2 linked regions of the Daphnia pulex genome follow. The protein of the gene in region 1 purifies or fractionates together with the protein of each later gene. This does not show direct contact. Links are inferred from orthologs where the notes say so. Each region holds a gene or a part of one and is shown on either strand. Other genes may lie near its edges. The genes, in order: cyclin-H-like and general transcription and DNA repair factor IIH helicase subunit XPD-like.

Region 1 (3,856 bases):
CTGCCTGTCTAACGGCTACAATAATAATGGAAATTGTAGGATTGAAGCTCCATTAGACTATAATAAATCTAAAGACAAAGTAATAAAATGGCTTTCACTTAGTCAGTGAAGAAGTGGGACAGATCTTTTCTTCAGAACAATACTTTAGACTATTAGACAAGAAGTACGAATCAGCGATCTTTTTTCTTGGGAATTTTGGGAATGATCGAGAATCGCTTTCTCAAATTATCCAAATTTCCTGTAATGTTACAAAGAAAACGAGCGAAAGTATCACGTGATCAGCGGTACTCTATTTAAACGGATTGAAAACCAAGTCTATCATTATTCACTGTTCACTAGGACTCCTAGCTACACAATCTTCAATATGGTTGCCAGATATACCAGCATCGTTTCCATCGTGAGTATATTGCATCTTTTTTTAAATAAAAATACCGACTAAAACAAGGATCTCATCCACTAAATAATTAATTTCACGCAGGCTGTCATTCTTTGCTTGGCTTGCGGAGTACAAGCCGGTACCCCTCTTGTCGGATATGGAAGTAACACTTTCAATGAAATATTCTCCACCGGATTTCAAAACGGCCTAGGTGGCTATGGAGCTGGGTAAAACAATCCGCAATTATGCTCTAAAGAAGGCAAAAGGAATAATCTAATATTTTATTTTGTGTTGATAGTACTGTTGCCGGAGCCATTGGTGCCTACGGTCAATTCACTGGAATCGGTACCGTTGGAGTTGGTAAGTAAAACCCAGAATGACTCATATGCTTGTCAACCAAATCTAAATATTTTCAATGTAAACAGGTCAAGCGCTGACTGCCGGAAAAGGCTACAACCCCTACGCCGGCGGTGGTGGTAATATTTTCATTTTGTCTTTGGTAAAAGATATCGTTTGAAAAAATGTGTTAATAATCTATTCTCCTTTTCGTAGGCTCTGGCGGCAATGGTTTCGGTGGTTTCGGAACTGGGCAAACTGGTAACTACCACTAAAAGCCAACTGACGACGACGTCACACAATTTACTTAAGGACGAGTGCGCCGGACGAATTTTTATCACGTTTCATATTTCACCGCAATCCTATGCAATGCCTTCTTGAATACTCGGAAAAATATTTTGTTATGTGTCTCAAAAGCTCTTTACTGGATACAGAGCTTTAGAAACTTTCAAAATTGCCATGCTGAAATAAAAGTTTAGATTCAATTCTCCAGTCTATTTAAAGCTACTCATTTATTATTATTTAAAAAAAAAAGCTTTCTATCGAAATAGGGTTGTCAAAACTCATTCAAACGCGGTGGATTCTCATTGGCTGTCGGAGAATGAAACAACGTCTCCCAGATGGCGTAGGTGTCGTAATCATTGCCTTGGAAACGAAGTCCTCTAGCAGACGAAATTTACCAGAATTTTCAGTTGAAACTCAAAAAACCATATGTGAATGTTATATTTTGCATGGTCAAACACATGAAAACGGGGCAAGTTCAATATGTTTGCAACGAGTACCCAGCGTAGTTTTTGGATGTTTAAAGATGAAAATGATGTTTCTAATGCCCGGCTCAGTGCCAACATAAAATATATTTCAAGCCGAGGGAGAAATATGACTGTAAGTTGCTTCCAGGAAGTGTGACCAACATGGCATGATAATCAATGTGTACTATTTAACAGGTTGAAGAGCAAGAACTCCATTTTTTGAACGTGACAGAGGAAAAAATTTTGATTATGAGTTATGAATACCAGCTCAGAGACTTTTGCAGAAAATTCCTCCCTCCTATGCCTCGCTATGTGATAGGAACAGCTTTGCACTACCTAAAGCGTTTCTATGTCAACAATTCTGTCATGGACTATCCACCCAAAGAGATCCTGTAAGTTATTTGTTAATTAAATACCTGAATTTGCAATAATCATTTATTCTTATAGTGTTACTTGTGTCTACTTGGCTTGCAAAGTGGAAGAGTTCAATGTTTCTATGGATCAATTTGTCGGTAACCTGAAAGGAGACAGAGAAAAGGCTGCTTCCATTATTTTGAACAATGAACTTCTTCTAATGCAACAACTTGACTATCAATTGACTGTCCATAATCCTTTTCGACCGTATGTACATTTCATTGTCTTTCCCTTTGCTGCAATTTTCTTTTGCTCAACATTAATCCTGATTTATAATTTTGCAGGCTTGAAGGCTTGATGATTGACATGAAAACAAGATTTCCAACCTTCAGTGACCCTGAGAGACTGAGATCAGGAATTGATGAATTCCTCGAACAAGTTTTTTACACTGACGCTATTTTGATCTACTCCCCGTCTCAAATTTCTCTGGCAGCCATCATTCATTCCGCGAGCACTTCTAAGGAAAATGTCGACGAATACATTACGAAAATTTTGTTTTCCGAAGACCAGAAACGCTTATTAAATCTCATAGAAGCAGTGAAAAGTAAGAGTTCTAACTTTCCTTCTATTTTCCTCGTAATAGAGATGGTTTTTCCGATTGCCGAACTTCATTGTTTGCTTTCACTTTTATCAAAGAAATCCGTGTGATGGTGCGGAACGTTCAAACACCTCATCGAGATGTCATCAAAGCTTTGGAAAAGAAGCTTCAACTCTGCTGCAATCCCGACAACAACAGTGAAAGCCCAGCGTAATTGCCATTCTTATTTTGTCAATTCAACATGAATTTTAACTGATCCTTTCATAACTTTCAATGTGTTTTGTCTTAGATTCAAGAAGAGGATGAAGCAATCTTTTGACGACGAAGAATCTTTCGAAGATGGCCAGTATCCGTCCGCCAACTCAGATCAAGTTCGCAGTATGTTAATGGGAATGTCCGAAATGGGTAAAATTTAAACGCATTCCCCACGTTTTTTCGACCAGACATCCTATAAAATTTACAGTGCTTCCTGTTCCCACACTTATTCCGGCTTGTGCGTCGATTTCTCGAGTTCCCGTGTGCTGCAAATGTCTGTGCGCTGTACATTGAATGTATGTCTGCCGCACACAATAAATTCAATTAGATGAAATTCAAATACATTCTTGATGAACTGAAATACATGAAATTGGAATGGAATACTTACATGGAATACAATCGAATACATATCAGGCGATGGTGTGATTACAAGTTGCCGTTGAGACTAGTAATACTCATGTATACCTTGTTCTTTTGGCATAACGTTTACGGGTTCGAGTGTCACACATTATTGAATCACGAAAGCTATCTATGGCGGAAAATAATCAAGCGAAACGATGGGAAGTGAGATAATAATAGATGTACTTGGAATAACTCTGATGTCACGAAAAATCACAGGATTTTGAAAACGTAACATGTGTTTATAACATCAACGCGAGATCATGATGTAAGATGCCATTTGTTTCGGTCCGAGCTTTTCTGGAACACAGCAACATCAGAAAGATATGGAATTTGACAAAGGGGTAGGGAATACTACTAAGATTAAATCAGTTATCGAGATATATGGTCATCGAAGTTCGGTTGATCAAACCGTATTTTTTCTAGCTATCGGTTTAACCGAACAAAAGCGGAATTTTTCAAAGTTTTCATTCATAACTTGAAAAAGCAAATTTGTTATTTTACCAAGGGCATCTAGATGGCGCAACGAAAGTGTGGGGTTTGAAAAATAAAATAATTTGAAAATTTCCAGACGGTAAATGTTGGCTCCGCTTTCTATCGGGCGCTTAAAGTTCAATCATGTCGACGAAGCACGGAAGAATAATAATTCATCCCTTTCTCCCGCTATGTTGCAGATATTCAGCTGGACATGAGGGTATGAGGGTTGACCTTATAGTCTAGACTGAAATCTGCAAAAATGATTGCGTCGCCTTCAGGCCAGTATCTACCTGGGAGCCCGTCACACTTCAT
Region 2 (4,120 bases), on another chromosome or scaffold:
AACATTAACACGGCGCTACATGAATCGGTAAAAGAAATGGTCAATATAGTCAGAATCTTTTGTTTTCCTATTATTTTTCATACCGTCCAAGATGGTGGTCAAAATCAATTCCTTCAGAGACTTTACCCCGTGCGACTGAAAGTAGTACAGCTCCTCGTCCATTATCACAAGCCTTCACTCGATTAAACAGATCGATTCAGATTAAACGAAAATCTTTAGACTAGAGGAATTAATTACTTTTAGAAACGAAACGTACTTTGATGTAGTTAATCAGCGCCAAACTCGTTTCTGCTGCGTCTTGGGTTTCGATAAAGAGGAGCTTGTGTCTTTGCAATTGATCGATAATGCCCTGATCGTACCAAGACGACACAATTGTTTCCAGGTATAGGTAGCTGGTGAAGAAGCAAACAATCCCATCGGGTACAGCGGCCGCTACTTCAACCAACAAATTTCCGTAGTTGCGAATAACGGCGGTGTCCTCACGAGTTTCGTATCGCGATGACATGGCGACCTGGTCGTTACCTTTCGATACGATCTATACTTAAAATAAGAATTTTAGTGTTACGTTAACATTTATGAAAAATGAGGCATCTACTACCATTGGCAGAATACAGGGTCTCGCCAAAGTCATAGTAAATGAGGTCATTATGACTGGATGGAAGTCGAGGATTTTCGGATACATATCAAGCGGTGAAAGGGTTCCTGAGGTGATGACGACAGTTTGGAAACGATTGAAAACTGGTTTGATGGCAATAGATGAATCTAAACAGCTGTAAAATGTACTAGCATTAATCACTGTTGGTCTTTGCGTGTTCTATATTCACATACCTGAAATATAAAATTGGGTTGGAAACTGTAGGTGCCCGATCTTCAAACGGTTCAATGATGATGGTGAATCTAAAATAGTAAATTACTTTTAGATATTTTTTCACCATTTTATCACTGTAAATAAAGATATTAACCCTTTAGTATATGTCGAGACCAATGTAGCAAAGTGAGAAACGGTTACAAGAGGTGAGAAATCCGTCAGGTCGGATATTTCAAGAGTGCGAATGAGTGAAGATAAACGCTCTGCGGTGAATCTGGAAAGTTTATCAACAAAATAGGTAAAATAATAATTTGTGCGTGTGAAACTGTATTTTTATATACCTTAGAGGTTTCCTATCGATACACACTTTAATGTGAATATCTCTCAAGAAACCGGCGGGACTCTCTTGAACGACGTGCTGGACGCGGAGTCGAGTTTTGATGTACTCTACTACTCGCTTCAAAAAGGCCACGAAGTGCTCAGCAGTACGGATCGTTCCAGGGACGGCCTCTATAAATGAAAGAAATGTTAAAATGGCCCGAACGGATACTTGTGAATAAATACAGACCTTCTAAAATTTCAGAAGGTAAAACCGGGTTAACTAAAGCCATGTCAGTTTCTCTCGCTATGTTAGCATCTCGCAATCCTTCAACTAGCCTTTGGTATTCCTTCTCCAACCTTCTGTTGTCATTTTCTTTCATGCTAAAGAGTTAAAAAAGTTAACAACTCTGAAATTAATCATGCACATCCAGTTGTGATTACTTTGAAATGGTGGTTTCCAGAATTTGAATGCTATTGGAGCATTTATCCAGCAGACGTTTCGTTATCTTGACGCTCATCGAATCTATACAGACATTATCTAGAAAAACCAATATTTAATTAGTAGGGCAATTTTAAGAGGTTACGTTTCAGTAAAATTACCAATATTGTGGGCTTCATCAAAGACAACGACGCTAGTTTTTGAAATTTCCTTGGAAACGACTTCTGCAATCTTGGGATCAAGTAAGTAATGATAGCTGTACACCACAATGTTGGCGTGAGTTATCTATAATTTAAATTTGGTATTAATTTGGTTGTACAATATTTTATAAATGTCATGATCTAACGGTGTATCGGGCAAGAAAATAAGGACACCATCCTTTGGCCTGTCCATATTCCTTTAAATCGTCCAGGTTGTACACCCCAGGAGGCAGCGGAAATTCTTTTCCATGAGCATCGAATCCTTCATAAAAGTTGCATACTGGCACAGCGTCATCACCTGCATGACGAGCTCTTACAAACGATGCCGTGAGACCGTAACAGCGCCCGTCGACTACTTTTCCTTCTCTCTCCTTACTGACCTGTTATGTAATTGTGTTGTTGATTAACCATACTTTTAAATCTTTTTACTATTTAATTCATATTACTGAGGGGTGAATGCAGAGATTCTTTCTGGAGCTAAGTGCCAAGCCAAGAATGTTTTGTTCCATGCCCATCTCTTTTTCGTAGTAATTCATTAATTTTCGCAATTCTTCCATAACCTTTTCAATTTCAGGAACAGTTCTTGAACAGTAGACTAGTTTGGTTAAATCAAGGGGGTGAGCCTTCATGTAGGCCACAATTAATGATAGCAATGTTGTTGTCTTCCCCGTTCCAGAAGGCATTTCCAATAAACAGTGACCCTGAATTGATCCAACATCAACAGATATTTATGTAATTTCAAGTTATACTAGTATTGGACGATACAACATACTTTTGCATCGAGAGCATGTTTCAGTTCGAGCATGTATGAAAACTGCTCCGGGTATATGTAATCGTAAGGGAAGTAGACGAGGAGTCCATCAACATTTAATCTATGAACATGTAAATAAATTAAATGTGGTCTCTGAATTGACAAAAGTGCGGGATTTACTTCATTTTTGTACGAGAAAGTTTACAACAACATGCACATAAAGTTGCTTGCCACTTGTTCTTCTTCAAATTTCTAGCAGACTAATTTTCCTTTTCACGTGTCGATAATGGTTACCAATAGATGGCGCGTAGTCAAGGCAACCAATTTGTTGTTTAAAAATATTTGTTGCGATTAGTTTTTTTAAACGATCTCATGGAAAGATATATTGTGAACGGCAGGATTGGGGAAGGGGCACACGGGATCGTTCTTAAAGGTATTGACAAGTCCACAATGAAACTGGTCGCCATGAAACGGATAGCGTTGAAGAACATTAACGAGCAGGGATTGCCGAACTCGGCTGTTCGTGAATTGCTGGCTCTTCGCCTGATCCGCCATGAATATGTAGTGAACCTAGTGGACTATTTCCCACAAGGATATTCGCTTGTGTTGGTCTTTGAATATTTACCAATAGATCTCTACGAATTTTTGCGCTCCAACTCCAAACCTTTGCCGACGAGTCACGTGAAAAGCTGTACCATATTTACATCTCTACAATCAGATTTTAGGCATTCAAATAACCAATATGCAATCCTTTCCATTTAGACATGTGGATGCTAGCCAGCGCTGTGGAATATATTCATAGTTTGGGTATTATGCATCGGGATTTGAAGCCGGCCAATTTGCTGATTGGTTCCCGAGGCGAACTGAAAGTGACCGATTTCGGATTGTGTCGTACGTTCAATCATTCCGAAAAGGCTCAAAGATTATTCACACATCAGGTGGCTTCGCGGTGGTACAGAGCACCGGAACTGCTCTATGGTTCTCGCAACTATGGCAAGTTTCATTTTAATTTAAAAATGCCATGTTAATTCTAACACCTTTTTCACAACAGGACCGGAAGTCGACCTATGGGCTATGGGCTGTATCTTTGGTGAAATGTTGAAGAATTCTCCCCTTTTTCCGGTAAATAATGGCCAATGTTGTCAATATAATATGTTGTAACAGTATCCGGATTTCCATCAAACCCTAGGGAGAAAATGACATTGGCCAACTGTGCACAGTCATTCAAGGTCATTAACAATACGGTAATCATAATCAAGGTGAATGGCATTAACTCTTTTGTGGGTAATTACATAGTACTAGGCACTCCAGACGAAGAAAATTGGCCAGGTGTATCAGCATTGCCAGATTTCCACAAAATTTCATTTACCAAAACTCGGAAACAAATCTCCTTTAAGAAAATCCTGATTGATGTAGACGAATCATCACGAACGATGCTGGAACAATTTCTTCGCTATTGCCCCCAATCACGAATAACAGCTAAACAGGTCATTTCTAATCTTCTATCTTTTAAAAATTTAAATCTAATTAAAACTTTGCATTGACAACCAGTTTTTGGAAGCTAAATATTTTCAAGAAGATCCGTTGATGACAGCAATAGA

Evidence for each region.
Region 2: the proteins of cyclin-H-like (region 1) and general transcription and DNA repair factor IIH helicase subunit XPD-like purify together in Homo sapiens (affinity purification with mass spectrometry; 3 studies listed by BioGRID and IntAct, counting the BioPlex papers as one, with this or other methods). This does not show direct contact. The link is inferred for Daphnia pulex from reciprocal best matches to the Homo sapiens genes CCNH and ERCC2.

The regions. Positions count from the first base shown.
Region 1 is NC_060020.1:2,096,572-2,100,427, reverse strand, and holds cyclin-H-like, read left to right. Parts: upstream 1-1,381; 5' UTR 1,382-1,477; coding exon 1,478-1,594; intron 1,595-1,656; coding exon 1,657-1,853; intron 1,854-1,908; coding exon 1,909-2,082; intron 2,083-2,159; coding exon 2,160-2,419; intron 2,420-2,511; coding exon 2,512-2,623; intron 2,624-2,702; coding exon 2,703-2,829; 3' UTR 2,830-3,029; downstream 3,030-3,856. Other genes in the region: keratin-associated protein 19-2-like, read left to right, coding at 365-397, 479-603, 675-736, 802-852, 929-987. UniProt on the Homo sapiens protein: Regulates CDK7, the catalytic subunit of the CDK-activating kinase (CAK) enzymatic complex. CAK activates the cyclin-associated kinases CDK1, CDK2, CDK4 and CDK6 by threonine phosphorylation.
Region 2 is NC_060017.1:8,164,179-8,168,298, reverse strand, and holds the start of general transcription and DNA repair factor IIH helicase subunit XPD-like, read right to left. Parts: upstream 2,801-4,120; 5' UTR 2,705-2,800; coding exon 2,700-2,704; intron 2,641-2,699; coding exon 2,541-2,640; intron 2,470-2,540; coding exon 2,215-2,469; intron 2,149-2,214; coding exon 1,915-2,148; intron 1,854-1,914; coding exon 1,730-1,853; intron 1,668-1,729; coding exon 1,571-1,667; intron 1,511-1,570; coding exon 1,377-1,510; intron 1,319-1,376; coding exon 1,150-1,318; intron 1,083-1,149; coding exon 963-1,082; intron 898-962; coding exon 829-897; intron 771-828; coding exon 599-770; intron 536-598; coding exon 257-535; intron 173-256; coding exon 84-172; intron 16-83; coding exon 1-15. Other genes in the region: cyclin-dependent kinase 20-like, read left to right, coding at 2,892-3,210, 3,282-3,512, 3,571-3,641, 3,709-3,748, 3,816-4,006, 4,071-4,120. UniProt on the Homo sapiens protein: ATP-dependent 5'-3' DNA helicase. Component of the general transcription and DNA repair factor IIH (TFIIH) core complex, not absolutely essential for minimal transcription in vitro.